Rattus norvegicus: one gene and its partners. The protein of the gene in region 1 interacts with the protein of each later gene in a pairwise test. Links are inferred from orthologs where the notes say so. Each region holds a gene or a part of one and is shown in the gene's direction. Other genes may lie near its edges. The genes, in order: Ushbp1, Txlna, Cchcr1, Exoc7, Bfsp2, Dtnb and Cep68.

Region 1 (4,233 bases):
TGTCCAGGAACCACCCTCAGGTGAAGTAACAGCTTGTTCGTTTTCCTTTTTGTTTGTGACAGCTTCATGTGGCCCAGGCTGGACTCTAACTCTAGAGCTATATGGTTTATCCACTGTAGAAGCTTCCCAAAGCTCCTTTTCCCCTGAAGCGGCGCCGGTCAGGTTCCCGGGGAAACACAGGAAACCCAAATAGCCGACCAACCTTGCAAAGGATGCGCCTTTCTCGGGGTAGCGTCTCGGGACTTCAAGCTTCCCCCCCCCCCAAGTTCTCAAGCAGAACGAACCTGAAGCTGCAGCAAGCCGAGTCGAAGTTAGACCGCGGCGACACAAAGTTCGCGCGCGTTCACACCGCCGCAGGTTCCACTGCCTGGGTACCGGGGCCAGTCAATCAGGTCTCTAGGAAGCCGCCATCTTCCTTACCGGAAGTGCTACCTTCTGGGAAATGTAGTTCAGTGGCCTTCAGGACGTGGAAGCTGATAGGCTGAGGCGTTCTAGGGGTGTAGCTTGGAGTGTAACGGGCTGGAATGGGGCTGAAGAGGGAGGGGTAGTATTGAGAGTGGGTGTGACCCGTGGTGAACTGAAGCAAAACTGAGAGGAATTTGTAGTTCGGGCTTAATCACACTAAGGTTCTCAAGGCCTCTGCTGTGATAGGACAAGAGATTGAGCTGGGCGGGGCCGTTTGATGATTGACGGGGTAGGAATTGGCTTGGACTTGCCTAGGGCCCTCTCAGTTACTTATGTGACTTGGGCTGGTATTCATTCACTAGTTCCGCGATGCGAGCTGGTGGTGCACACCTGTCATCCCAACACTCCAGAGGCCCGAAGACGAAGATCGGGTGTTTAGACAGCCTGGACTATATGAGACGCTGTGTGAAAACCAAATGGAAAGAAAAAGTAAAGAAGCCACTGTGGACAAGCTCACTGTCGCCGGTGACTCCAACGGCCTGATGCAGTAGTTCAGTCTCGTTGAAGAGAAACCTTGTGGGCTACTGAACAGGTGCAGGCTCTTGCCGCCAATCCTGACGACCTGAGTTCGATCTCGGAGACAAGCAGTACCATCACAGACAAAGATAAATAATGAAAAATAAAAGCTATGCAAGTGCTGGAGCCAACTCTCTTAGTTTTGTTTTTAGAGACACAAAATAAAATTTTAAAAAGACCTTCACATTAGAGCGAGCCCTGATGAACAGGGGGACACAGAAAATCCAAAATAAAAATGGAGGCACTACATGTTTGGGCTGGGATAAGGGGATACTGATATCTTGGAGTGGGACAAAGGTCCTGGTCCTCCATCCTCTTCCTGTTCTGGAGGAAGCTGGCATCCTGGAGAAGGAAACAAAACAATAACTGTCCATGTGATCAGGGTAGGGAGCTTCCTGTTTCTCAGCCTCTCCCAGGCCACCTTTGGCCATTGCAGCCTCAGTAGCCAGTGGCCAGAATGGCCTGAGATATTCTTAGGAGTTCAGACCTTTCCCAAGGTGCCCTGGAGAAGAAGAGAAGAGGGCCGCAGGGCCAATCCCCAGGGTGAGGGAGTTTGGTACTAAGAGAGTCGTGGGAAGAAGGAGAAATCTTAGGATACCACTCAATGCCTCCATAGGGAAGAGAGGGGGCACAGATAAGAGAAATGAATTCAGACAGCGGAGGGAAAAGGAATGCCCGGTAGAGATGGGTGACGGGGAGGAGGAGACAAGTAAACAGTGGGCACTATTGGAGAGGTATTTAAATATTTAAATGTGTCAATCAGTTCAAACGAACCAAAACTCCTACAGGAAAAAACAAAAAACAAGGATACCAAGGTAACAAAAGGCAAGAACTGAGAGCAGGCTGTAGTGACAAGAGTAATGAGTGCCCGGGCCACACGACCCCGAAGCCGGCGAGGGAGGCATCCTCTGCCTGTAAGTGTGCCCCTCTTCCTGCCACACCCAGCCCATGGATCCTGGGAACCCAGGTCTGCTTGGCTCAGAACCTGTTGTGGTACAGGGGAGACCTCCACAGGGAGAGCTGGATGTGATGACCAAGAGCCCGTGTGTGTGTGTGTGTGTGTGTGTGTGTGTGTGTGTGTGTGTGTGTGTACGCACCCGCACATGCACGGGAGTGTCATTCACAGGGGGAGCTGGACCCAGTAGCTGAGAGCTCAGAGGAGGTAGATACCACCAATGGGAGCTTCGAGACTAAACCTGAGCTGCTTCAGGAACATCTTGGTCCTAGCCTGCAGGGCCCTGGGAACCGGTAGGATGCCGGGGCCCATACTCAACTGCCTCCAGCTGCTCACCTGCCATAGCTTCCCCTGCCCGCTTCTCTCCTCTTCCTTTTTACCCTCCAGCCATGAAGCTCAGTCCCTGCTCAGCCTTCCTAGGGACCCTGGGGTCAGCCCTCCGCCTCTGCTGAGTCTCAGGTGGCTAGGGTTCCTGATTATCCTCACAGGATCAAGGAGGATTGTGATGTGGGATCCCATGGGGTCCTACCCTTGAGCCCGGAAGAACGGCGCGAGCCTGAGGTGGAAGCCCACCAGGCCCTGCAAGAAGCCCCTCTGGATACTGGCCCTGCTGAGATAACAGCACCCAATGTGTATGAGACCTTGAAGTGCAGGCTGAGCTCCCTGGAGGCAGTTGTAGCTGCCTGGCGCCGCCACTCGCTAAGCTTTTCAAAGCCAGTGGAGGCAGAAGACAGAGACCCGGGAGCTCCGGGGTCTTTTGGTAATGAGGAAGAAGCCTCTGGACCTGGACAGCAGGAGGCAGCGCACTTCATAGAGAGGAACGCCTGGCTCCGGCTGGCCCTGGGCACCCGGGAGGAGGAACTGGCGCGGACTCAGGCTTCACTGCAGGACGCCCAGGCAGAGAATGAGACTCTGCAGAGACAGGTGAGCTGGTGACTGGGAAAGAGGCAGATCCTGCTTTGAGAGTAGACACTGACGTGGGTGGAGCAGTGGCAGATGTGCCAAGGAAGTGACCAATAAAGACAGCGCGGTGAGAGGGGGAGCAAGGGAGACCGGCAGTCTGCACCCCACGATCTTAACACGCAGGAAGCTCAAGAGGGACAATCTCTACTCTGGCGAGCCCTGGCTAAGACCAACGTTCTTCTCAGCTGTAGACTGAGTCCAAGGTTAGCCTGGGTTACAGACCCTGTCTGTGTCAGTTGCACCGCAGACAGACAGACAGACAGACAGACAGACAGACACAAATCTTATCTTGGGGGTGGTGTTTTTTTCCAATTCAAGGTTTCTCTGTGTAACAGAGCCCTGGCTGTCCTGAACTTACTTTGTAGACCAGAATGGCCTCGAAATCACAGAGATCCCCCTGCCTCTGCTTCCCTAGTGCTGGGATTAAAGGTGTGAGCTATGCCAGATTTGTTTTAAGGTTTCTATTGCTGTAATAAAACACCACAATCAAAAGCAATTGGGGAGGAAGAGATTTATTTCATCTTAAAATTCTCAGGCCTCACTCTGTCACTGAGGGAAGCTCAGGCAGGAACTTGAAGGCAGAGGTTATGGAGGTGTGCTGCTTACTGGCTTGCTCTCCATGCCTTGCTCAACCTGCTTTCTTATCTCAGCCTGCCCAGGGATGGCACTACACACAATGGGCTGGCCCCTCCCTCCCCATCAATCGTCAGTCAGGAAAATGTCCACAGGTCCAATTGGGGGAGCATTTTCTCAATTGTGGTCCCTCTTCCAGAATGACTCTAGCTGAAGTCAAGTTCACACGAACCAGCACAACTCCTGAGATCACTGTAGCTGGAACTGAGTGGGAGAGGTGAAGGCACGTGGGGGAAGGTCACAGTACGCAGGGTGCTGAAGGCTGGGCAGGATTTACAACTGTGTTCTTGTGTGTGGTGGGTTCTGAGGGGAACCCTGCTGCAGGTGTTCACTTGCGCCATCTGATGCCTGTGAGAGGAACAGTCTGGCGGTGGACCATAATCCTGAAGGTGGAGGAGGGGCGACAGCAGTGGCTCGGGGCGTTTAGTAGAGGTGACCAAAAAACCTACAGATTATGGGTGACGTTAAACCCAGATGTGATAGGACAAGCCTGTAATGATAAGGACTTCAAAGGCTGAGATGAGAAGATCATAATTTAGTACTAGCTTTGAAAAGATAGGCAATCGTCTCAAAACAGAACAGAGCCCTAGCTGGTTCTGCTAAGAATCCTCGTCAGCCTGTGGGCGTGGCTCAGGGTAGAGTGACAGCGTAGAATACTCCAATGAGGGGCTAGGGGCGTGGCTCAGCGCTTAGCTTTCAGA
Region 2 (4,151 bases), on another chromosome or scaffold:
CAGCTTGATCTATATAGCGAGTTCCAAGTCAGGCAGCACTAGAAAGCAAGACCTTATCAAACATAGCAAACTCCAAACAAGTAAATAATTGAAATCACAATTGTGTTTGTTTTTGAATGATCTAAGCATCGAAAATCCTAATGAACAAAGACAAAATCTAACTTTCTAAAGCATTAGCCCATGTAGGAGCACGTGGTACTTTGCAGAAAGTGGGGCAGGGCTGAGTGGGAGTTTACCAATCCGCCTAAAGCCAAACCTCCTTGCTACAATCCCCTCCTGAGGATCCAAGCTGGTGATGTCAGAAGGCGGGGCATACTTGGTCTCAAAGCCTGTGATGGCGGAGAATGGTTAAGATGGGTTTTAGTTGGATCTGAGGTAGAAGCCAGCATAGTCAAAGACTAACAGCCAGGGCTACACGGAGAAACCCTGACTGGGCTGGGTGGAATGGAATGGGGCACTGGGGAGAAGATTAAGAAAAGGATGGGTGGTGTCAGGCTTCCAGGTTTGAATCCGCAATAAGCACACAGTATTGATGGATGGAGCCATAGATTATTTACCCTTTACCTGGGCATGGTGGCCCGTGCCATTAGTCCCAGTCTTGGAGAGACAAAGACAGGCAGAACTCTTGAATTCAAGGCCAATTTGATACACCTAGAGAATTCGGGGCCTGCCAAAGCCACACATGAGACATTGTCTCTAACAAACAATAGTACATACTTTTTTCTTTTAATTAGCCTTTTCCGTACTGCCCTATATTTCCCAGATCTCTGAGTATAATGTTCTTTCTCTGAGTAATTATGAGGACCAAGCTATTACATACGAGGGAAGAACACATTGTTTGGATTATTATAAACCTTCTACTGGAATGGAGAGGGGAGGGATACTAGGCACATAACAAATTAGTGGTTTGGGCGTGAGATAAATATCTCCTAATTCACAGTTTACCCTTCTTTCTCTCTTCCACTCGCAAGTCCTCAGAGATCCTAAAATAGTCATACATGTTCATAAGGGAGTGTATGAAAAAAAATCCAGACTGCCAAAGTTTAAGGGCCAATCATAGTTTCTGTACTAGGAAGGAGGCTGACACGAATCTCTAGACCGAATGACATAATTTCGGACCCTCAGGGTATTTGGCTCCTAAGCTTTTCGGTTGCATCTCGGGAGTTGTGACCTGCCGCAAGGCATGAAGGGACTCGTAGTTTTTCCCACTCCCGCCTCCAAAGCCGCCTTGGCCTCTTTTCCCAGCAAGCTCCGCGCCAGCGTTTGCTGTTGATTGGCTGCCGCAGGAGAGGGTGGTCCAGCTGGCAGCAGTTACCCAGGTTTCCGGTGCTCGGCCAGAGTCGGGGACGCGGTCGGACGTCCGCGGTGAAGTATGTCTTTGGGCTGTACACGGGACGAGCTCTTCAGAGGGTCCATGACCCAGGACGCGTTAGCCGCGGAGGAACAACTAATTCTGTGGACGGGGTGGGGAGAGTTGTGTGCTGCCGTGCTGCGCATGCGTACTTCGGGTCTAGAGGGCGCGTGGGGTGTGGGTGTCTTCTGTGTACGCGCGCGCGCGCGCGGGAATCCCACGTGGGACCTGGTGGGGCGGGGGGCCGGTCGGGACTGGAGCATCCCGCCACGTCAGTCTGCGGCTCTGAGCCAATCCCGCGCTCCCGCTGCCGAGAGGGAGCCGTGTGGTGCTGAGAAGTGGCATTCAGGAGAAGGGAGGCCTCTTCCTTCCTTCACTCTGTGCTGGTGCAGCTTCTCGGAAACCTTGCCCGGGACCGTGAAGTCTCAGGCGAAGGCCGACCAGTTTGTTTGAAGCTTAGAGCTTCAGATTTGGAGATTTCTCATCTAGGTTGTGAAGAATTTTGAAGTCTAGAAAATAGCAGCGGTGTCCGTAAAGGATCTACCCCTTTTCTGGCCTTGCAGATCACAATGAAGAACCAAGACAAAAAGAATGGGCCTGCCAAACACTCCAACCCGAAGAACAGCCCTGGGCAACGGGAAGCAGGACCGGAGGGAGCTCATGGACGGCCCAGACAGACAGCTCCTGGTGCGGAAGCTGAAGGTTCCACAAGCCAGGCTCCTGGGAAGACCGAGGGTGTGTGCCAGCTCTGCTTTTCCAGTGGGCAGAGGGAGGAGTTTCTGGTACTTGCATCTATCTGAGGCCAGTATTTACCCAGGAAGGAGGAACTATAGAATGAAACAATGCCCATTCTGTGATCCTCATGTTTCCTAGGGAGGTGATGAAGCTTTCCACTCTTAGCCCTGGAACGGAACCTTGGGGGCATGCTCTGACTGGTTTAAACCAAATGACAATCAAATGAGGCGCCCCATAAGCAAAGTCATATTCCCACTTGCCAGTGCCCGGTGATTAATTGTCCTTCATAAGACAGAGCGTCTGCTACACGTCAGTCGTCCCTCTTGTAGGGGTGCTTTACACAGTTGTCTTTGATGGTCATAACAAGTATGTTTGGGTGTTAGAAATAATTGTTTCGTCTTATAAAAACGTTTTATACGACTTAGGGTTTAAAAAAATTAAATTGAGGCCAGGCATAGTGGCCCTCACCTTTGTTCTCAGAACCCAGAAGTCAGAGGCAGGTAGATCTGAGTTTGAGGTCATCCTCATCCTCATAGTGAGTTCCCAGACAGCCAAGGCCCTGTAGAGAGAGCCTGTCTCAACTGAATAAATAAATGGAACGTTTAACCCACACAAGTGGTGTTTGTCTGGGCTTAAAGAAGAAGAAAACCCAAGGGAGCGGTGTAACCACCTAACGTTCACTGTCTTCATCTTGTAGGCGCTCGAGCTAAAGCATCTCAGTCTGGGGCCCTCTGTGATGTCTCTGAGGAGCTGAGCCGACAGTTGGAAGACATTCTGAGTACATACTGTGTGGACAACAATCAGGGAGGCCCAGGTGAGGAGGGAGCTCAGGGGGAGCCCACTGAGCCTGAAGACACAGAGAAGTCCCGAACCTATGCAGCCAGGAATGGGGAGCCTGAACCGGGCATTCCAGTCGTCAATGGCGAGAAAGAGACCTCTAAGGGGGAGCCTGGCACAGAAGAGATCCGAGCAAGTGACGAGGTTGGAGACCGAGACCTTCGAAGGCCACAGGAAAAGAAGAAAGCCAAGGGTCTAGGTGAGGGGGAGCTCCTGCTGACGGGAGGGAGTGAACACTTGCCATCTCATGGGCTAGCCTGCTCTGTCTGGACACAAGAGAATCTGCTTTTCAAGACAGTACATCCCCCCAGTTTAGTCAAAGATGGGGTCATCCCATTGAGCTGTTCAGATCACTCACTTGTGCAAGGCCTCCTGGCCTTGGGAGCCAAGTGGAGGCAGGAATCCAACTAGCTTTCTCACTGGGAATATGGAAAACCGGAGGGAGGCCTAAGTGCTCGACAACACCACTTTCAACCTGCTGTTTGACTTTGGGCATGTTTATTCTCCACTCCTAGAGAGGGTCTTAGTTTCCCTGTTTGTACAGCAATAGAATTGGGCTACACCAAGGTTGAAATATCAACATGGACCAGGTAAGCCACAGACCTCTTCAGAATCAAGAAAGGGCCTTCTTGATCTGAAAACCTGACTCCTACCTGGTTAGTCCCCCAGTCGCATCTGACCAGCTGAATAATTGGTAACCAAAATAATAGAAAGTAAGCAGAGGCCTCCATTGGTTGGATTTGCCATCTCCGTGTTACCTTTTGGGCCTCCCAGGGCTGACAGCTCAGAACCTGGTCTGTGCTGAGTACAGTGGAACCCAAGGGAGACAGCTGTAAGGCTTCCCGGCTGAGGTAAAGCAAGGCAGTGGCAACCTGGCACCATGGCGTACACCTTTAACCTCAGTACCTGAGAAGCAGGAGCAAGTGCATCTCCTGAGTACCAGACCAGCCAGCTGCATAATGAAACCTTATCACAAACAAAGGACAGGAGTGATGGGACAATGTGAAAATACGAACTTAGAACCTAATGCAAACCAAATATGGTAGTGTATGCCTCTAATGGGGAACTAGGAGGAACAGAAGCAGGAAGATGCTGAGTTCAAAGCCAGCTTGGGCTACATAGCAATACCCTCTCTTTGTGTGTGTGTGTGTGTGTGTGTGTGTGTGCGCGTGTGTGCGCGTGCGCGTGTGTGCGTGTGTGCGCGTGTGTGCGCGTGCGTGCGCGTGCG
Region 3 (3,500 bases), on another chromosome or scaffold:
AGGGGATGGATTGGGAGGAGAGAGCATAGCCCTCTAGAAGGGAAGCCATGCTGTCCTTGGGACTACCCTCGGTCTGAGGGTAGCGTGGGGATCCTGAATGATGGAGTTCTTTTCCCAGCACTTGAAGGAGGACAGGACTAACCTTCAGGCCACCGTGGAGCTACTGCAGGTACGGGTACAGAGCCTCACACACATGCTCGCCCTGCAAGAAGAGGAGCTGACCAGGAAGGTAGGCCCCTCCCTCATCCTCCAAACCCTGCCCTGCTGTAGGCCTTCCCTCTCTGGGGAAGGTAGGTGGTATACTACTGAGACCCCTAACCGCCTCACCGTGGATGGCAGGACTGGAAGGACAAGGTCACCAGTTCCCGCCTCCTTAGAAGATCCATTCCCTTCTTTCCCACGTGCAGATTCATCCTCTAGACCCCTTGGAGCCCGAGTTTCCTAAGAAGTGCCGCTCGTTGCTGCGCGGCTGGCGGGAGAAGGTGTTTGCCCTTATGGTGCAGCTCAAAGCCCAGGACCTGCAGCACAGGGACTCCACCAAGCAGCTGAGGGACCAGGTCAGGGGCTGTGTCTCTCCCAGTGATGACAGTTAGTCTTTGGGTGGTTGCCACATGCTGGGCACAGAGCCCTGAGCAGAAGAGTCCCCGTTTTCACGGAGCTTGAGTCCTAGAAGGACGCACGGAGAAGCAGAAAAATGGGTCACATCGTCATACACGTGCTACGGAGAAGCGGTGGTGACAAGACTGAGGTGGATGGATAGGATGGTCAGGGACGGCCTCTCTGAGCAGGCCACAGCATCCATCAGGGCGTGGCACAGTCAGGGGAAGGGATCAGGATGGTTTCCCAAAGCGTGGGCAGCCTGACTCAGAAAGAAGATTCAAGACAGAGTTTTCTGTGTACTGTAGCTGTCCTGGAACTCACTTTGTAGACCTGACTGGCCAATAAGTGATCTGCCTGCCTCTCCCCTCCTCATGCTGAAATTAAAGGTACGTCTTACCACACCATACCACACTGGGCGTTCTTTTCTTCCTTCCTTCCTTCTTTTCTTCCTTCTTTCCTTCCTTTCTTTTCTTCTTTCTTTCTTCCTTTCTTCCTTTCTTCCTTCCTTCCTTCCTTTCTTTCTTTCTTTCTTTCTTTCTTTCTTTCTTTCTTTCGTACTTAATTTAGCTGGGTGTGGTGTACTCCTTTAATTCCAGCAGGTAGGAGGAAGAGGCAGAGGGTCTCTGAATTTGAGGCCAGCCTGGTCTACATAGTGAGTTCCAGGACAGCCAGAGCTACATAGTGAAACCCTGTCTTAGAAAGAAAGAAAAGGTGTGTTTATTTTGTTTTATGTGTCTGAATGTTTTGCCTGCATGTATGTCTGTGTACCATGTGCCCATGGAAGTCAGGAGGTGTTTGCTCCCCCAGAACTGGAGTTACAGATGGTTACGAGCCATCCTGTGGGAAAAGGGACTCGAACTCTGTGAGAGCAGCCAGCGTTCTTAACCACTGAGCCATCTCTGCAGCCCCAGTCTGGAGACTCCTGCCCCGTCTCCTTCACCGGCATTCCCCATAGCTTTGGCTCTAGATTTCCCTGCTCAGTTCCCTCTGCTCCTGTAGGTAGCAGAGCTCCAGGAGCAAGTGACTGCCCAAAGCCAGGAGCAGGCCATCTTGCAGCGTGCCCTACAAGACAAGACTGCACAGGTGGAGGTGGAGCGGATGAGCACCAAGGTCTGAGGGTGAAGCTCCTTAAGGGAGGAGGGTGAAGCTCCTTAAGGGAGGAGGGTGAAGCTCCTTAAGGGAGGAGGGTGAAGCTCCTTAGGGAGGAGGGTGAAGCTCCTTAAGGGAGGAGGGTGAAGCTCCTTAAGGGAGGAGGGTGAAGCTCCTTAGGGAAGGAGGGTGAAGAAGACCCTGGCTGGGTCTGTGGGCCAGGGGCCAGGGAGGGAGGTGTACGAGAGAGAGCGCACACAAAGCTGCATCCTTACCAGACCCTGAAGATGGAGCTGAGTCAGGCGCAGGAGGCCAGGTGGAGGCAGGAGCAGCAGGCGGCCTCTGCTGAGGAGCAGCTGAAGTTCGTGGTCAGTGCTATGAACAGGTATCTGTCACAGAGCAGCAGGTGGAGGAGCCCGGAAGAGCCTCAGGCGAGAGAGAGAGAGAGAGAGAGAGAGAGAGAGAGAGAGAGAGAGAGAGAGGCAGGCAGGAGGATGCAGGATGGAGTATGCCGGCTTCCTGCACTTTGGTCTACTGTGCTCTGAAGCTAAGTAGGGCAGCTAGGAGGAGCTGTGACTTCGGAGGTCAGGGAAGGGAACTGCAGCCGTGTGCAAACCTCCCTCCCTCCCTCTCTTCCTCCTTCCTTCTTTTGCAACCCTAATTGTACAGCTGGGCTGGTCTATAGCTCAGTAGCAGAACACTTACCCAGCATTCAGGAATCTCTGGTTTCAATCCCTGGCACCAGAAAGGAAAGCTGAAACTTTTAAACTTGCACAGACAGAGTCAGACTAGTTTAGAAGAACCAGATTCAAAGCTCTGCACGTGCCTGCCTCCAGGAAGATGTTACGGTGTCGTGTCTGGGGTTTTACTTTCTGCCAGATCACATACATGGTTCTCAATAAAAGCTACCAGAAAGCCCTTCCAGGCTTTGAACACCCGTACCCCAGTTGAGATGTTCTGACTGAGCTTAAGCACTTAGATCCTCTAGGTTTGCTAAGGAGCTGGATTGACCTGCAGGGTTCGCCAAGGTCCTGCCTCTCCTGTAGGCTCCCGTTTCTCCTTTGCTGGCTACTTAACAGCCCCCCCCCTCCCCCCACACTCCCCGCTCATGTACCAGGACAGGACAGACGTGTCCTCTGCCCCAGACCCTGCGGGTCTTGAAGGGATGAGGGGAGGAAGGACCGTGAGTGACCTATATCTTCTTCAGCACTCAGGCCAGACTCCAGAGCACCATGACCAGGGTGGACCAGGCTGTAGCCCGGATTCCCAGCCTCTGCAACCGGCTCAGCTATGCTGTCCGTAAGGTCCACACCATTAAAGGTACACAGAATGACCTAGCCCTCCTTCCGGCCTAGCCCTCTTCCTCTTAGCTCTGGATCTAACCCCATGTTTGTCCTCTGTTGCCTTGGTAACTATCACTGTCCTGTGCTCCCCGCCACCCTCTGTCCACGTGTTCTCATCTGTCTGTCCTCTCTTCTCTTCAGGTTTGATGGCTCGAAAGTTGGCTCTTGTTCAGTTGCGCCTGGAGAGGTAAAGTTCGGGCACATTGAGGTGGAGGGGTGTGTGTGGATGTTGGGGACAACCTGTTGGCTGCTAGGACCCAGAGGGACCAAGGAGGGGTGGAGGCACCGGTCACTCAGTTGCTGGGGAGGTTTCTCTGACTCCATCATCGCTGTCCCAGCTGTCCCCCACCTGAACCTGCACCCCCACCGGACACGGACCTGAGCCTTGAGTTGGAGCAGCTACGGGAAGAACGGAACCGCTTGGATGCAGAACTGCAGCTAAGTGCCCACCTGATCCAACAGGAGGTG
Region 4 (4,050 bases), on another chromosome or scaffold:
GAGATAGGGCCCAGGGATTGACCTGCTGCTGATTGGCTCAGACTGGATGAGTAAGGAGTTTAGCTTTTGAGAAATGAAGAGTTGGTGCCTTGAGCTGGGGCAACAGGAGGGGCAACGGTTGCAAGGCAGGGAGATAGAGCAGAGAAACAAACAAACAAACAAACAAACAAACAAACAAACAAACAAACCAACCAACCAACCAACCACATACTCCGTGCAGGAAGTGGGGATGAATCTGGTGGGCTAGCTGAGGGACTGCCCCGGCAAACAGGTAAACAGCCTTGTACTATACAGATGTCTCAGTGTCTTTATTATTAATCTCCACGTGGGGTCCCCAAAAGCCCTGAAGTATCTATTGTGAGCCACTCTGTGTGCGATCCTGTCTCCAGACTTGAACCGTTAAGGTATGATTTGCAGAAACAAATTCATCACCTCAGCCAGAGCTTTTATCACAAATCAGGGGGTGGCAGCTGGAAAGATGGCTCAGCAGTTAAGAGCACTTTCTGCTCTTCCAGGAGGCCTGGGTTAGGGTTAGGGTTCCCAGAAGCCACATGACAGCTCATAACTGTAACTCCAGTTTCAGGGGGATCAGATAACCTTCTTCTGGCCTTCCAGGGGACCAGGCACGGGCAAAAAACATCTATACACAATTTAAAAAAAAAACATAAATAAATCATGATCTGGTGAGATAGCTCTGCAGGTTAATACACTTGCTACCAAGCCTGACACCCGAATCTAATCCCTCTGGGACCCACACACGTGAAGGAAAGAACTGTATACCCTGTATACCCACTACAATCCTGCACACGGTAGGCAGAAGTCAGCCTGGTCTACACAACCTATTCCAGAACAGCCAGAATGGTCTCAAAAAAAAATTTTTTTTTCAGGTATATTGTTGATTTGCTTGGTTTTTGGTTTGGGGACCGAGTCTGACACTGTAGCCTAGGCTAGCCTGGAATTTACTATGTAACCCAAACTGGCTTCGAATTCGTGAATGGTCTCCTGCCTCAGTCTCCCAGTGTGAGAGTGTGAAGATGTGAGCCAGAATTCCCAGCAAGGGTCTGTCTTTCAAAGAGGCGAGCAAAGGATCTATGCCTCAGGTGAGCAGCTTGTCCAGCCACATTCAAGATGGCTTCGATCCGCAGCCCGTTCGCGAGCTACCGCAGGCACACACTTCCGCCTGCCACTCCCAACATGGCGCCACCGGAGCGTCCGGGGGCGGGGCCGAGGGAGGAAGTGGGTGTGACAGGGACGGAAGCCGAGCAGGGTTTGGAGCTAAGACATAGGGGAGTGGGAACAGCGCTGTCCGCTGCGATGATTCCCCCGCAGGAGGCTTCCGCTCGGCGGCGGGAGATCGAGGACAAGCTGAAGCAGGTGACGCTGGGGAGGAAGTGAAAGAAGGGCGCAGGAGCATCGAACCGGGGTGGAAGGGGACATAGGGTTAGGTGTAGGCCGTGGTGCTGGGTGGTGGTGGTGGTGGTGGTCTTTCACCATCCGTTTGTGGTGATGTCCACCTCTCTGCTCCTCGCAGGAGGAGGAGACGCTGTCCTTTATTCGAGACAGCCTGGAGAAGAGCGACCAGCTCACTAAGAACATGGTGAGTTGCCCCTCAGCTGGGAGGCTGCAGACAGGCTCCTGGGCCCCAGAGGAGGGGCATGTGATGGACGTGTCCTGCGCCTGAGTCCAGGGACTCCAGCGTGGGTAGTAAACTGTGGTAATATGTAGGCATCTCATGCGGCGATGGGTATCTCTACTCCCCAGTCTCCACCCCCTCACTGAGGATACCGCTGGCCTGGACCTGTTACTGTCTGTCCTTCTGCAAACATTTAGTGATACTTTGTACATGGTCTGGTGCTGGCTCCGTGTCATTGTCAACTTCAAGCGATGCATGCTTGCCTGAAAGGTTGAGCTAGTGAGATTACCGAGGTAGAGAAGTCCCAAGGGGCTTTAGAAACAGAAGTGTCTCAGAGAACTAATGGGTCTTAGATCTAGCCCTTGTACCACAGCTTACTTTAGTGGTTCCTGGTGGGTAATTTATCTGGTAAAACAATGTCAGCCTCCCAGTGTGTCTGTGAAGGGGCATATACATGCTCACAGTGTCTGGTATATGATAGATACTTTAAAAGTGCTTGATCTTTTCCTTGGGGAAAGAGTTTTTTGGGCTTTGTTGTTGTTTGTTTTGTTTTTCGTTTTAGGCAACAGTAATAATATTTGCAACTATTCTGGGTAAGGCTACTTTCTGTTCAGTCTAGGAAAACTTCAGAGAGAACAGAAATTGAGATTTGGCTTTCAAGGGTAGAAAGGAAGCTATCCTGAAGTGTTTTTGTTTTTGTTTTTTAAGATTTATTTATTAGGTATACTGTTCTGGTTGTGTATATGCCCATGTGCCAGGAGAGTGCACTAGATCTCATTACAGAAGGTTGTGAGCCATTGTGTGATTGCTGGGAATTGAACAAGGACTTCAGACAAGCAGCCAGTGCTCTCAACCGATGAGCCATCTCTCCAGCCTGATTATCTTTTTTTTTTTAAGAAAATGTATTTTATGTGTATGAGCGTTTGCATGTGTGTATGCATACTATGAATGGGCAGCGCCTGCAGAGGTCAGAAGAGGGTGTCAGATCCTCTGTAACTGGAGTAAATTGCATGCTGGGAACTCAATACAAGTCCAAGAACAGAATCATCTCTGTAGGTCCCTGGGAATGATGATCTCAGCAAGAATTAGTTGAATGTTTATCTTGCCTTAAGATGAAATTCCAACCACATACCAGAACCACTAGGGATACAGGGTAGCAAACAAGTCGACCGTGTGCCTTCCTATGTGTAGCTTGTTGTCTAGAAAACCAAGGAAAGACAAGAAATGTCTGAGTACTTCCAGGACAGCCCTGAGGGCCATGAACCAGAGGAGTTCCTCCCACAGGTGTCTATCCTGTCGTCCTTTGAGAGCCGACTCATGAAGCTGGAGAACTCCATCATCCCTGTGCACAAGCAGACAGAGAACCTACAGAGGCTGCAGGAGAATGTCGAAAAGACCTTATCCTGCCTGGACCATGTTATCAGCTATTACCACGTAGCCAGCGACACGGAGAAGATCATCAGAGAGGGGTGAGTTTCATGCAGAGGGTCACATAATTAATGTCTCCTGGACCCATGGCCCTAGTCCTTAGAAGGCAGTAAAACACATTTGAGGGTAGAGCCCCTCGTAGGGATTCCCTTCCTCTCCTGCAGATCTTGTCTGTAGTCTGTCTAGTTAATCCCCGTCCTCCAAGGCTGACTGACCCAGGTGATGTCTTCTTTCCCAGCCCCACAGGTAGGCTGGAAGAATACCTGGGAAGCATGGCCAAAATCCAGAAGGCTGTGGAGTACTTTCAGGACAACAGCCCAGATAGCCCAGAGCTCAACAAAGTGGTAAGGAACCTGTGGACTAGTGTAAGACAGACAGACGGACATCAGTCCCCATCCGCATCTCATGAGGGACACGTGACAGTTTAAAGAAGTATGTGGAAGCCAGGTGTGGTGGTTCATGCCTAGAACTTGGGAGCTTGAGGCTAGCCTGGGGTATATGGTATTCCAGTCCAGCCTGGGTTATGTAGTGAAACCATATCTCAAAATGTTAAGCAAACATATAAAGGAGGGAGAGATAATAGCATTCAGAATGCACACATTAGGTCCTGTGCCTCGGGACTTACAGGCATAATTTTTTTATCGTACTATTTCAAATGTAAGTTTAGCGTTTGAGTTTTATATATGCATTGGTGGTTTCTTCATTATGGTAAAAAATATAGGGGTTGGGGATTTAGCTCAGTGGTAGAGCGCTTGGCGCAAGGCCCTGGGTTCGGTCCCCAGCTCCGAAAAAAAAGAAAAAAAAATATATATATATATCTCCTGTACTTAGGCAGGGTGCCTCACACTATAATACTAGGACTTAGGAGGGCGAGGCAGGATTGCAGCAAGTCCAGATTGGCCTACATAGTGAGTTCCAGGATGGCCAGAGCTACATAGCAAAACCCTATAAAGCAAAACAAACACATTAATCATAAAACCGGCCATTTC
Region 5 (4,132 bases), on another chromosome or scaffold:
AAATTGATTTCTGTCCCTGTCTCTTGCCTGGGGTCAACCCTCATCAACCCTCCCATTACAGGACCAAGGAGTCCACGGTCCATCTCTGGACCTAGGGTGTATGGTTTCAATACACTAAAACCTCACCTGGCACATGGCTTTTTAGGACCATGTCCTGCTCAGGCTGGAGGGACCATTCTACCCCCGAGAAGTGACTGGCATCTAACCATTGACAGTGTGACTTGGAGGATGCCAAAGATAAGGAGTAAAACCTGGGATGCCTGCTCACAACTCTGTCACTCCCGTTCCAGGGGATCTGACACCCTCGCACATATATGCATGCGGTTAAATCACCAATGTACATAAAAATAAGATAAAAATCCTTGGGTGCTGAGGAAACCCTAACTTGGATAGGAAACCCCTTTGTTGTTTTCCCTTCTTGGTCTTATTAAAGGGTGAGACAGAGGTGAAAGGGAAACCAGAGCCAACAGCTGCCCAGCAAGCAGCTCAGGTCCTAAACTCACTCCTGAGCGTCTGCTGTGTCAGAGTTAGCAATCGAGCAGCATGTACAACAAGGTCGAGAGGACGAGAAACAAGGCCAACAGCCAGCAGCTGACAAGCACAGTGTCAGAGGGCAGACATGGCGGGGAGGGAAGAACGGAGCTGAAAGGGGCCTGGAACAGCTGCCAGACCCGAAGGGAGAAAGCATGAGCAGGCTTGCTTCGTTTTCCTTGGGCCTCTGGGGCTGCCTTCCTCCGTGGCTGGGCTGGCTCATGCACACATTCGTACATGAAGGGATAAGGCCAGTCCTGTAAACCGCCCTGGGGCTCTTGCATGGAGTCTCAGCTTGTAGTGTGAGATCTGGAGATCAGAACGCTTGTCTTCTAAGGTTCTGTAGCCCGATTCCTCACCAGTGAAATAGGGACAGCTTGTTGCCCACCTGACCTCTCTGTGGTAGTAACATACTCATCAAGGCCAAAGACTGAGGTTCAGAGAGTATGCATGAGGCCCGATTCTGTCACAGGAATTGGAGGCAGAAGGATCAAAAGTTTAAAGTCTTCCTGGCTACATAAGGATTTTGAGGCCCACCTACGATAGAGACACTATCTAAAAAGAAATAGGCAAACCTAGATGACCCATTCCCACAGGCAGCACTGCTCTACCCCCAACCCCAGAAAAGTCTGGATGTCTGGGCACATGACCCAGCAACAGAGAATGCCTGTGTGCCTCTCACAGGCTGGTAGGGCGCTTCTCTTCCAGCTCAATGAATGCCAGAAACTCGTGGAAGGCAGTAGACAAAGAGCTCGGGGACAGGGGAGCTTCCAGAGAGGCCCGTGACCAGGCCATGGGGATGCTGGGGCGGCAACCAAAAGCCACTGGACCGTGTGAACCTGCCATGCACCACAGAGGCAGTGAGAATGAGCGAGAGGAGAGTAGCAATGGACTTGCCCTCAGGATCCAACGCCAGCATGCCCCTGCAAAGGCACAGGGTGTCATCCCTTAGGGGAACACGATCTCCTTCCTCCCTGGATAGCCCCCCAGCATCCAGGACCAGTGCTGTAGGTAGCCTCGTCCGTGCCCCTGGGGTCTATGTAGGAGTAGCACCCAGTGGTGGCATAGGTGGCCTCGGTGCCCGAGTGACCCGCCGGGCCCTGGGCATCAGCAGTGTCTTCCTGCAGGGCCTGCGGAGCTCAGGCCTTGCCACTGCACCTGCTCCAGGCCCAGAAAGGAATCACGCCACTGCTGAGGACCTGGGGGGCTGCCTAGTGGAGTATATGACCAAGGTGCACGCTCTGGAACAAGTCAGCCAGGAGCTGGAGACACAACTACGGGCTCACTTGGAGAGCAAGGCCAAGCGCTCCGGAGGCTGGGATGCCCTCCGTGCCTCCTGGGCCAGCAGCTACCAGCAGGTAAGTCCTCCAGCTGTGCCTGGAGGTTTACTAGAGGTCTGAGAGAGGATGGTGAAGGTAGTGAAGATGGCGCAGAATCAGAGGCCAGGGAAGCGGACCACTTGCATACCAAAGCTGCTGGTGGTCTAAGATTAATACTGGTGAGTTGCCATTCACTGAGGCTGACCAGGAGCCAGGACCACCCAGGCATAATGTACACCCGACGCACACCAAAAACACCCCAACAACGTTCTGCAACCAATCTCTCACTGTGTATACTTTTCAGATGAGAAACCCAAGTTGTGTACAAGGTCCCAGGCCATAAGCAAATAGAGCAGCGATTCTCAACCTGTGGGTCACAGCCCCTTTAGGGGTCACATGCAGATATCCTGCATATCAGATGTTTCTGTTCTGGTTCATAACGGTAGCAAGATCACAGTTGTGAAGTAGCAACAAAATAATTTTATGGCTGGGGGCCACCACAACATGAGGAATTACTGTATTAAACGGTCCCAGCATTAGGAAGGTTGAGAACCACTATAATGGAGATGCAGCAGATTATGTGACCCTGGATTTCCCTTCCTCAAAGTTGCACTTGTCCTATTATCTGGGACTGCCTCCGTCACCGTTAGTGCAAAGGGTTTTCAAGCCTTCACAGAACCCAATACCATTGGATGGATGTGCTATTTTAAATGGTGACTAAATAAATGGGGGGTCTCCTATATCCAGATAAAATGAGTATATGGGATCAGTGGGAATATGGACCATACAAGTAATTTTCAATTTCCTATTACCTATGGTGTGTGTGTGTGTGTGTGTGTGTGTGTGTGTGTGTGTGTGTGTATAAACAAGTGAATTTGGTGTTAATATTTTGTTTGACTCAATAAGGAAAAAGATTATTTCAGTATGAAATCAATACAGAAATACGAGCACAACAGTTCTGACTCAGATAGACCCTTATGGAGGATGGAAATGTCTTACAGTCTTGGCCATCGGTTATGTGGCTTCTCCTGGGCAGACATGGACAAATGCATTTTGCCCCAGGCAGGGCACTACCAACAATCAAATATTTTACCCAAGTCTAGCTTAGTACCAATGAGTTTATCGGGGTTACTTACCAAAGTTGAGTATGATTGTATCAAAGGAGACTGCACCCCTGAAAAGCGCACGGGCAAGACTCATGAAAGCTATACCCCAAGAGCTCCCTGCCCAATTTGCAGGTAGCGCTAAAGAAGAGCCTCCCCTCCCCACAAGGGTTTATTGCATATATAATGGGGGAGGGCGTGACTCTTACAAGGCTCTAAGCCTTCTAAGTTTCCTCAAACTTCCTGGATCTTAGGATCCACCCTCCTCCCTCCCCTTCCATTCAAAAAATTGCTACATCACACCATCCATGGCAACAGAGTCCTTGGAATGTGGCCTTTGAGACTGAGCACTTGACACTTTGTTCTACCCGGATTTTGTTCCTTCAGATCACCACCTACAGCCGACAGTCATCTTGCTGGGCAGGGGTGTGGCAGCCTCCTTTCCCTGTCACCTGGTCAGAGTTGCTTTTTTGTTCCCTGAAATAATTTCCATAGAACTCTAAGCTCATCTACCAATTGCGCCTGCAAGCTCTGGTTCTAAGACTAGAACACACACCCCACCCCCCAGGCATTGTCCATCTCAGCTCCGGGGGTAGCTGGCTCTGCCTTCTTCCCTGAATGTTGGCCTTGGGATGACTGTGAACTAAATCAGTCTCTATTCCAGAAGTAGCCAAGTCCCATTTGCTCCCTGGAGTCAGATATGTAGACTGAGAGGAGGTCAACGAGTGGCCTACGTGTGGTTGGGTGATACCAACAGAGGCACACATGGAGGCCCCCATTTCAGCCCGTGATGCTTCTCCTTCACTGTTCTCAGCAGCCCATAGAGAAGGGAATACAATACTGTCCTTCTGGCCAGTGCAGCTGTTCTGTCCACACTCCTCTGAGTTGTGAGGGAGAGCCTCAAACATTCAGGGCTTTACAGCCTGTACAAGAGGCAGCCACTCCTCTGGGAGTCCCCACGGCTATCTTGAATTCAAATATGTGTGGCACACTAACCCCTAGAACATGCCATATATTTCATCTCAGCAGCATCTGCTGGACAACATGATACTCAGATGCCATGCACATACATGTACCAGGAGGCACCAGGCATCTCAATGTCGAGGTTAGAGAGTTCAGATACAAAGTCCAGTAAGCAGATATCGAAAGTGGCTCCAGAAGCCGAACGTGCGGATATCG
Region 6 (4,202 bases), on another chromosome or scaffold:
ATTCTATAAAAAAATGGCAATATGAGGGGCTGGAGAGATGGCTCAGCAAAGAGCACTTGCTATGTTATCCGAGGACCTGCGTTTGATTCCCCAGCATCCATCCACACTTCACAGTTCCAGGGGATCCAAAACACTCTTCTGGCCTCCGGGGGCACTCACGGGGTGCAAACATTGCAGCCCAAACACTCATACACATAAAATAAAACATAAATGCTTTAAAAAAGGATAGATGAGTTGGTAATAAATATAGATACATAAATAAATGAAGCTTTGTCGCCCCTGCTCCCTTGTCCAAGCTGTTTAATGTCCAAATACTCCCACTTTCAGGAACTACTGAACGACTAAGCGGAAAGTAATCTGTCCCTCCTCATCCTCTCACCGCATCCGGCTGTGGCTTGCCTTTGCGCAGAGGACCGGACTCGGTCCTTCGCAAGGCTGCTCTTCTCCCTAAGTTATGCGCTCTTGGGGACCAGGGCCGTGACCCAGATCGTGTCCACCGGGCACCAGGCGCATGAGTTAGTGCTCAAACGAGCCTGCTGAGGCAATGTGGAAAGTCACTCGGGGGAGGACCCGGCGCTCGAGGCGCGGGTGAATGATTCACCGGGTATTTCTTCGCATTCCTTACGGTTCAGTCACGTCGGCGCAGCACCCAGCCGCCCGGCAGCTACCTGTGGAGTGGAAGCGCACCTCCGCCTCCACCTCCGCCTCCGCGGCCAGCGCACAGCAGAGGCCCGGAGGGGGCGCGCAAACCCGCGGGAGGGCACTCGGCCGCCTCCCCGCCCCCTCTGGCGGCGGAAGCCCCGCCCCTCCGCGCGCCCGCCCTCCGCGCGCACCCGCCCTCGCCCTCGCCCTCGCGCCCTCGCGCCGGGGGCGGGCTCGCTGCGCGTGCCGGGCGGGGAAGCGGCGCGAGCCGGCGCCAGGAACGTTCGCCGCGGGGGCGGCTCCGGGGCCTGAGTGGGCGCCGCCGCCTCAGTCGCTGCCGCTGCTTCAGCTGCCTCTGCCGAGGGGGCCGGGTCGGAGGAGGCTGCGGCCGCCGGAGAGCCACGCGACGGCCCCTCAGCTTCGGCCGGGAAGCGAGCCAGGTGGGGAGTCCGCCGGGGCTGGAGGAGCGAAAAGGAGGGCTGCGGGGTGGCGGAGCGCGCGGCCCTGGAACGGCGACCCTTGGGAGACCGCACGCCGGGCCGGAGAGGGCTCTCCGGTCACCCGGGCGCGCGGGGGGCCGCGGAGCGCAGAACCCGGCTGCGCGCGCTGCTGATGCAGCCTGAGCCGGACTTGCGGGGAGGAGGCTCAGCGTTAGGTGCTGAAGGGGGCGAAGGCGGCAGGTCCTGGCAGAGGGCAGGTGAGGTAGGCAGGCCCTGGCAGAGGGGAGGGAATTCATTCCAGATCACCTCTCAGTGTCTCCCGAGGCTCCCGGTAGACGAACCTGTCTACTCAGGTCACCTCTGATGGGCACAGTGTCCCGAGAAGAGCGAGGATGCAGCTGACGAATGCTTACTGTTAAATTCCTGTGCCAGGCCTTGGGGAATCAGGGAGACCTTTCTAGCATTCTCTGCAAGCGTTTATTGATTAGCTACGGAGCAGGAGAGAACCGCGGTCAGCGCCCGGGTCACGACTTTATCACTCTCAACCATCATTTATTTGCTGTTGAAGTGCTGACAGTCCGGCTGTGAAAGTATACACACAAAATGTAAAGTGCTCTATTTTATGTTTCTTGTTCTGTTCACTTCAGGTCTCTTTAGGATTTTCCCAGCCCTGGGAAACTGGGCCGTAAGTTGCTTGGCTTGTGGAGAAAGTAAGATACTTGAGGAAAGCTGGTGGGAGCTATTGGGAAGAGATTTGAAGGGTCTTACTGACATTTAAAAGAGAGGGGAAAGAAATTTGGAAGGAGAATCTTGCCTTCCCAACTAGAATTAAGCTCCGCGCCTGTTTTCTGCCCAGTCCTCAGGATGTGGCCTGGATCCCGAAAGCCCTACAATGGATGCCCACTGCAGGAGTGGATGGAGGGACCAGGGTTTGATACATTTGATATGAAGTAGTGTCAGTCTCTGTAGAGTTAGGGATGCTCGCTGGCTTCCTTTGGTCCTAGGATTCTCTTTTTGCCTTCTCAGGTAACCCAGGGTTTTAGACGCTAAACCAGTGGCTTAGGTGGCAGACTCCGGTGGCTTGTGGCCACTTCTTCATCCACGCGGTTCTTGTATGTTGTGCACCAGAAGCTTGTTCTTTGGGTGGCTGCTTGAAGTCAGGTTCCGGTCCTTCTCTCATTGGCCTTTTCCCCCCTCCTCTGTCGTTTGAGGAGGACTGGAGGGAGCTTTTGCCTAGAGAACACTTTATAATTTCTATCCTGCCTCTTGGATCTTGGTTCTGAGGTGAGAGAATGCTTAAGTCTCTTCAGGTCTGTAAGGGCTGGAGTTCTGTCCTCTGCCTTGCTTGGACTCTCCAGCCCCATACTGCTGCTTCCTTTCCCTGGCTTGCAATGCCTGTTGGATTACTTTGCTTGCCAAATTAAAACTTGACCTTTTATGTGTTCTCTGAGGATTTTTATCAGACTTAAGTGGAACTGCCTCTGAAGGGGTTGTGCAGGCAAGGTGGTGCTGGCAGGGTCTTTAGCTTCACTGAATTTTGCCCGGGAGACAGAATATAGTTAAAATATTAGAGTGCGCAGGATTTCCAGTTACCCTTTATTTCATGTCTTCAGATGTTAACATATCTGACCCTTAGTCTCCTTATATAAAAAATAAGAGCAATATTAATCCAAATTTGTCATTGGATATATAGAAGCCTTGAAGTATATTCATTTAGTTCATTTTAATTAGTATTTGCATTTCAGGGTACAACCATTAAGTCTCTCTTAGGTTTTGTTTTGGGGTGCCTATGTGGCTTTGCAAATTTGGGTGTCTTGTTTCGGGCACTTCTAATATTTTATTTAGATATTTAATTTACATTTATTTGAAAATAAACCCTCTACCCCCGGTTTTTGAAGCAGGGTCTTGCTGAGTAGTAACCCCAGCTATATTGGTACTCGAAATACAGTAGCCCAGGCTGTAAGTTGACTTTGAACTGTGGCTATCCTTCTGTTAGTCCTTCCTGTGAAGCACCATGGCTGGTTAAAACAAACTTTTTGTTTGTTTGGGTTAAAGATAGGGTCTCTCTCTGTCATTCTGACTTTGAACTTATGTCTATTCTCCTATCTATGTGTCCTGGGATTACAGGTGTGCACTACTGTGCCTTCTTCATGTGTAGTTTACATAGGATAAAATGGATAGACTTTGCATATTGAGTTGGGTATTTTGAAAAAATGGTACATATTGGTGGGCATGGTGGCATATGTCTTTAGATTGAAGTCCTTAGGAGGCAGAGGCAAGCTGATCACTTCAAGTCCAGCTAGGGTTACATAGGAAGACACTGTTTCAACAACAACAAAAAAAGCAAAACAAAGTAACAAAAGTCCCTCCCCCAAGAAAACAAACAAAAAAAGAAAAGACATGTGTACTTTGTAACCTATCCCAATCAAAATATATACTTTTGTATCATGAGAAAGTTAACTCCTGCTGTCTTGGGGACAACCCCTCCCTCTATTTTATTAACTTAAAATTACATAAGCATTAGAGCTGTGGTTTCTAGATGTGCTGGAGGTACGCTGCTGTTCTAGGGTGTCTTTTGCACTGGAGTCTCTCTGTGCTGGCAGCTCCTGGAGTTGCAGTAGTTTGAGCAGTTCAGAATGCATATTTGCTTGTAAATTGCTCCAAATAAAACTCCCTTGACATACCTACTCCTTTTTCTACTCCGGTTACCAGTTTGTTGTTTTCTTCCCAGGCCTTTTTCTATGCATTTTACTTTTTTTGCATGTGTATGTGGTATGGGGGAGTCTGCATATGGTATCCATGTACCATACATTGTATATGCCTGTGAAAGCCCAGAGTTGACACTGGAGGTTCTCAGTTGCTCTCTTACTTATTTATTAAGTTCAGCCTCCTCCTGAACCTGGAGCTGGCCAATTTGGCTAGTCTAGCCAGTCAGCTCGTTCTGATGACTCCTGTCTGTCTCTAGAGCGCTGGCATTGTAGGTGGCTGCTATACCTGCCTGGCTTGTATGCGGGTTCTAGAGATTTGAACTCCAATTCGTATATTTGCGTGGCAAGTGCGTTATCCACTGAGTCATTTCCAGCTCTCTTTGCATTTTACTATAGCATTCTGTCTAGGTTG
Region 7 (3,976 bases), on another chromosome or scaffold:
TCAGCTCAGCTGGAGATACTCTCCCTTGGGAGCTGCACCGCCTCTGCTGAGGAGGCTTCCTCTCTGAACTGTGTTTCCTGAACTTCTGGGTTTCAGGATGCCCTTCCTACTGAGCAGGAACATTTACAGAAGGACGGTGGGCCAAGATCAAAGAAGAGTACAGAACACACCTTGTTGAGACCATCCAGATGCTCAATCGCGTTTACAGTATTGACTGCTAAACGACTTCGTTTAAGTCCTTTATTTTTTTTCCCCCCTTAAACAAGTAACTGGATACACACTGGTAAATGCTAACTTCCCATTCGACATATTTCAGTTCTGAATTCCTTTTTAACTTTTTCCTTCTGGGTTGAAGAGGGAACTAAAGGCCTTGTATATAACAATACACTTTCACTTTAAAACACCCAGTACTTGGAAGACAGAGACAGAAGATCGGGAGTTCAAAATCAGCCTGGGATACGGTGAAACTTACTCTCACAAAAAAAAAAAAAAAAGCCAAATAAAAAGCTGGTCATGATAGAGCTTGCCTGTACTCCCTACACTGGGGAGGCTGAGGCAGGAGAAGCCCCTTGACCAGGCCAGCCTGGCAGTCAAGTTTGTGATCCTTAAGTTGGACTCTGTCGTGTTAGGATCAGTCCAGCTCCTTCTGTAACCGCACAGGCCCAGGCCACTATGGAAGTCCCTTCTCCAACTATTGGTGTTGACAGTCTGGGCCTCCTGCGACTCAGAGGCTCCGAATGGTGATGACCGGCAGAGGGATGCTCAACCCAATCCTGGTCCTCGCCCGCCTCCCGCCCTTGCTTCGAGCATGCCTTTGGGGTTTCCACACAACGTAAAAGGGGGAGCACCAGGCCTGGAACCACCCTCCCTGCGGCGGAGAGCACGTCCGCCCAAACACAAGCCTGAACCCACAGTGGCCCCCTATCCGCCAAGAGCGCGCCCTGCTACCCGCGCCAGTCCGCGTGGGCGCCAGGACCGCGAACACCCACCCCGCCCGCGCGTCGAAGCAGCGGAGAAAGGAGCTCCGGCTTCCCATAGGCCAGGGCCCTGCAGGGGGCGGGCTCTCATGCAGAAGCGGGCTGCGGATTAGTGAAGCATCCGAACCGAGGGTCTGGATTGGCTGCTTCTTCGGGCGTCCTCCACGGAGAAGCGGCACGGGCGGAGGGCGTGGCGGGCGCTGGGCCCTCCCAGCCCCAGGAGTGCGGGCGCCCGCAGGAGGCCCGTCGTCGCTGCTTGGGACCCCGGCCCAGCTATCCCAGCCGCTTGGGACGTGCGGCGGCGCGGAGTGAGGTAAAAAGGCTGTGGCGGGCGCGAGTGTCGCTGCGCCGAGACTCGAGACCGGGCATTCCCCGCGTGCCTGGGGCTGCGCGTTGGGGGACCCTGTTGGAGGCCCGCGGCCCGGAGGGCACAAAGGCTGGCCGCAGTGGGGGCGCCTCGCGCCTTCGCCTCCATCTTGCGGGCCGTGCGGGGTGGAGGGGAGCGAAAAGGCAGGCTGTGGAGGACCGGCGCGGCCTGCAGAGCGCGTGGGGCCGCACCTCTGGCAGCCATGCAGCTGTGCGCGCGTCGACCTTGGTCGTGGGGAATCAGCGGGTCACAGCGACTCGCGTCCGGGTGGCCGCTGCTTCCCCTGGCACAGTGAACGCATCCGAGGAGGAAAGCAAAGCGTCTCACTGGTTATCTCTAAGATCTACCCTTGTCACCTGTTAGCCAGTCTCCACAGCCCCGGGGCACATGCCCCAAACTTAGTAATTTTATGATTACCATGTTTTATTCAGTGCGTTGTTTATTATTAAAAAAAAAAAAAAGGAAGCGAAAAACTGCCAATGCCCGAGCAGAGTAGACCTCACTTGGAATTGATGAGGTTTAGACACGGAAAGAGGTAGTCTGGTATACAACTTGCGACACTTTATGGTTCGGGCTTGGTTAAAATACAAGCCACCACTCCTCCTGTTCTCCCCAGCGGACTGGGTTAAATCTGGATCCCTTAGGAACAGTGTAAGGAACCCAGCTTCACATCATCACGAAACCTTTTTTAAAAGTTTTTCCCTGTCCCCACAACTGAAAAACATACCCTTCTCTGGGCGGCCTTTATGGGCTTCTGTTGGCACTGAGGTGGTTTCCCCATCCCCTAACAGGATGAAAGGTCTGTAAGGGAAGGAAGCCAAAAGAAAACAAGAACAAGTTAAGCCAAAAGTTGAGGAAACCGGGACCTTTAAAAGCCTTTAAATTGTTGGATTATTTTTACAGGTTAGGGAAGCAGCTGTGCTCTCGGAATTGAATCAGACGTCAGTCCCTTCCACACTACTAATTTAGGATAAGTTCACTTCTCTGTGCCTTAGTTTTCTCATCTATAAAGTGGAATTTAGGCCCCAGCACGACGAGGAAAAAAAAAGAAATGGATAGGTAGAGGAATAGTGCAAATCCCTAAAACACCTAAGATAAAAAGAGGTACTTGAAAAGACCTACTGGAGTGCTTAGAAAAGAGAGGCAGGTGCATCACCGAGACTCAGGCAAGCCTGGCCTACATAGTGTGTCCAGGATAGCCAGAGCTATATAACACAGAGACCCTGTCTCGTCTTGCCCCCGCTCAAGTACCAGTACCAAGCATCTGTATAATTCTTGCTTCTTCACTGTCTCTGTCCTTTCATTTTTTTTAACTTACCAAATTGTTTAATGAAACACTGCAATACCAATATCAACATTTGACAAGTATGACATGAGAAAAGAAAGCTTCACACCGGTTTCTCGTAATTTAAGTGGAAAAAAAAATCAACTAAATATCAAACCAAATTCTGGTATATACAAAAAAGATAATCCAGCACAGCAAATTAAAATAAATCTAGAATGTAAGTTGGCATTTGAAAACCAAATTATCACCGAACTGCCTCGACCTGCCAGCCGCCCAAGTAATGATAAAGAGATCTTTTATTAGTTTTGAAAACTTAGCCTTAGGTTAGGCTTGTTTCCAACTATCTCCTATAACTTAAATTAACCCGTTTATACTTATCTACCTTCTGCCACATGACTTGTTCCCTCTCCCCAGTACTGTCCCGTTTCTTTCTCCATTTCTGGCTGGCCATCCTTCCCTGTCCTTTCATTCTTGAGCCCTTTGTGAAGGCTGCTGTGACCTGGGAAAGTATTCATAGATTTAAAGTCCTTACCCTGTTGTGGCAGGAAGAGGGTCTGGAAGTATGTACCAGGCCCTGGCCCCCACTGCCTACCGCTGTCAGGGCAGCACCAATACACCACCACCATCCACCCACAGGGCCACTAGGACCACAAGGTTGAAACTTTTTAAAAATTTTAATTCTTGAACCTTTCATATGGGGGCTGGAGAGATGGCTTAGAAGTTACGTGCACTGGCTGCTGTTCTTCTATAGGACCCAGTCTCAGTGCCTGACACCCACATGGCCACTACAATTGTCCGCAACTCCAGTCCCAGGGGGTCCACCCCTCTTCTGGCTTCTGTAGGTACAGCATACATGTGCATAGGAAAATTGCATACCTGTATGCAGTGTGCTGATCATATCTGTCCTTCACCACAGTTCTCCTCAGGGATCCCCACCACGTGAAGCAGTTACTTGTGTGGAGGTCAGAGGCAGCACACATGCGTGTGGTAGGGACAGGACAGTTTATGAGAGCATTTTCTCTCCTTTTCTAAAAGCTGACCACAGTTTTCCTGATACCCACCCTGCATACAGCTAGTTTCGGCCATCTCAAGCCTGTCTTCCCTTTTGTCATTATGAATTTACCCCTTGTGTGTTACCGTCCTGCCTAGCTTGGCCTCCACTGTGCTGCCCGCTCCCAGAAGCCGTGAAGCCACATATCCTGTTGAGCTCCATGCCCTGCTCACACCTTTCCTCTTCCTCGCTTACTAGACACGATCTGCCGCTGGGTGTGTTATGGCGTTTCTCTCTGGACCTGTGAGTCCGGTGAGGCTTCATTGTTGAGGCCCCAAACCGAAAGGAGCATCCCT

Evidence for each region.
Region 2: the proteins of Ushbp1 (region 1) and Txlna interact in binary tests that used the Homo sapiens proteins (3 or more experiments, as listed by UniProt). The two-hybrid records come from large-scale screens. The link is inferred for Rattus norvegicus from reciprocal best matches to the Homo sapiens genes USHBP1 and TXLNA.
Region 3: the proteins of Ushbp1 (region 1) and Cchcr1 interact in binary tests that used the Homo sapiens proteins (3 or more experiments, as listed by UniProt). The link is inferred for Rattus norvegicus from reciprocal best matches to the Homo sapiens genes USHBP1 and CCHCR1.
Region 4: the proteins of Ushbp1 (region 1) and Exoc7 interact in binary tests that used the Homo sapiens proteins (3 or more experiments, as listed by UniProt). The two-hybrid records come from large-scale screens. The link is inferred for Rattus norvegicus from reciprocal best matches to the Homo sapiens genes USHBP1 and EXOC7.
Region 5: the proteins of Ushbp1 (region 1) and Bfsp2 interact in binary tests that used the Homo sapiens proteins (3 or more experiments, as listed by UniProt). The two-hybrid records come from large-scale screens. The link is inferred for Rattus norvegicus from reciprocal best matches to the Homo sapiens genes USHBP1 and BFSP2.
Region 6: the proteins of Ushbp1 (region 1) and Dtnb interact in binary tests that used the Homo sapiens proteins (3 or more experiments, as listed by UniProt). The two-hybrid records come from large-scale screens. The link is inferred for Rattus norvegicus from reciprocal best matches to the Homo sapiens genes USHBP1 and DTNB.
Region 7: the proteins of Ushbp1 (region 1) and Cep68 interact in binary tests that used the Homo sapiens proteins (3 or more experiments, as listed by UniProt). The two-hybrid records come from large-scale screens. The link is inferred for Rattus norvegicus from reciprocal best matches to the Homo sapiens genes USHBP1 and CEP68.

What each region holds. Positions count from the first base shown.
Region 1 is NC_086034.1:18,099,068-18,103,300, reverse strand, and holds the start of Ushbp1 (harmonin-binding protein USHBP1), read left to right. Parts: upstream 1-1,433; 5' UTR 1,434-1,524; intron 1,525-1,769; 5' UTR 1,770-1,841; coding exon 1,842-1,895; intron 1,896-2,107; coding exon 2,108-2,229; intron 2,230-2,424; coding exon 2,425-2,860; intron 2,861-4,233.
Region 2 is NC_086023.1:147,266,474-147,270,624, reverse strand, and holds the start of Txlna (alpha-taxilin), read left to right. Parts: upstream 1-1,351; 5' UTR 1,352-1,464; intron 1,465-1,914; 5' UTR 1,915-1,920; coding exon 1,921-2,086; intron 2,087-2,783; coding exon 2,784-3,122; intron 3,123-4,151. UniProt on the Homo sapiens protein: May be involved in intracellular vesicle traffic and potentially in calcium-dependent exocytosis in neuroendocrine cells.
Region 3 is NC_086038.1:3,212,766-3,216,265, reverse strand, and holds part of Cchcr1 (coiled-coil alpha-helical rod protein 1), read left to right. Parts: intron 1-118; coding exon 119-229; intron 230-407; coding exon 408-557; intron 558-1,599; coding exon 1,600-1,710; intron 1,711-1,967; coding exon 1,968-2,074; intron 2,075-2,896; coding exon 2,897-3,009; intron 3,010-3,173; coding exon 3,174-3,219; intron 3,220-3,370; coding exon 3,371-3,500. UniProt on the Homo sapiens protein: May be a regulator of keratinocyte proliferation or differentiation.
Region 4 is NC_086028.1:102,036,502-102,040,551, reverse strand, and holds the start of Exoc7 (exocyst complex component 7), read left to right. Parts: upstream 1-1,250; 5' UTR 1,251-1,314; coding exon 1,315-1,374; intron 1,375-1,531; coding exon 1,532-1,597; intron 1,598-2,917; coding exon 2,918-3,102; intron 3,103-3,299; coding exon 3,300-3,405; intron 3,406-4,050. UniProt on the Homo sapiens protein: Component of the exocyst complex involved in the docking of exocytic vesicles with fusion sites on the plasma membrane.
Region 5 is NC_086026.1:112,939,447-112,943,578, reverse strand, and holds the start of Bfsp2 (phakinin), read left to right. Parts: upstream 1-1,332; 5' UTR 1,333-1,397; coding exon 1,398-1,889; intron 1,890-4,132.
Region 6 is NC_086024.1:32,285,080-32,289,281, forward strand, and holds the start of Dtnb (dystrobrevin beta), read left to right. Parts: upstream 1-1,402; 5' UTR 1,403-1,672; exon of another isoform or gene 1,673-1,687; intron 1,688-4,202.
Region 7 is NC_086032.1:98,669,069-98,673,044, reverse strand, and holds the start of Cep68 (centrosomal protein of 68 kDa), read left to right. Parts: upstream 1-1,176; 5' UTR 1,177-1,290; intron 1,291-3,976. UniProt on the Homo sapiens protein: Involved in maintenance of centrosome cohesion, probably as part of a linker structure which prevents centrosome splitting. Required for localization of CDK5RAP2 to the centrosome during interphase. Contributes to CROCC/rootletin filament formation.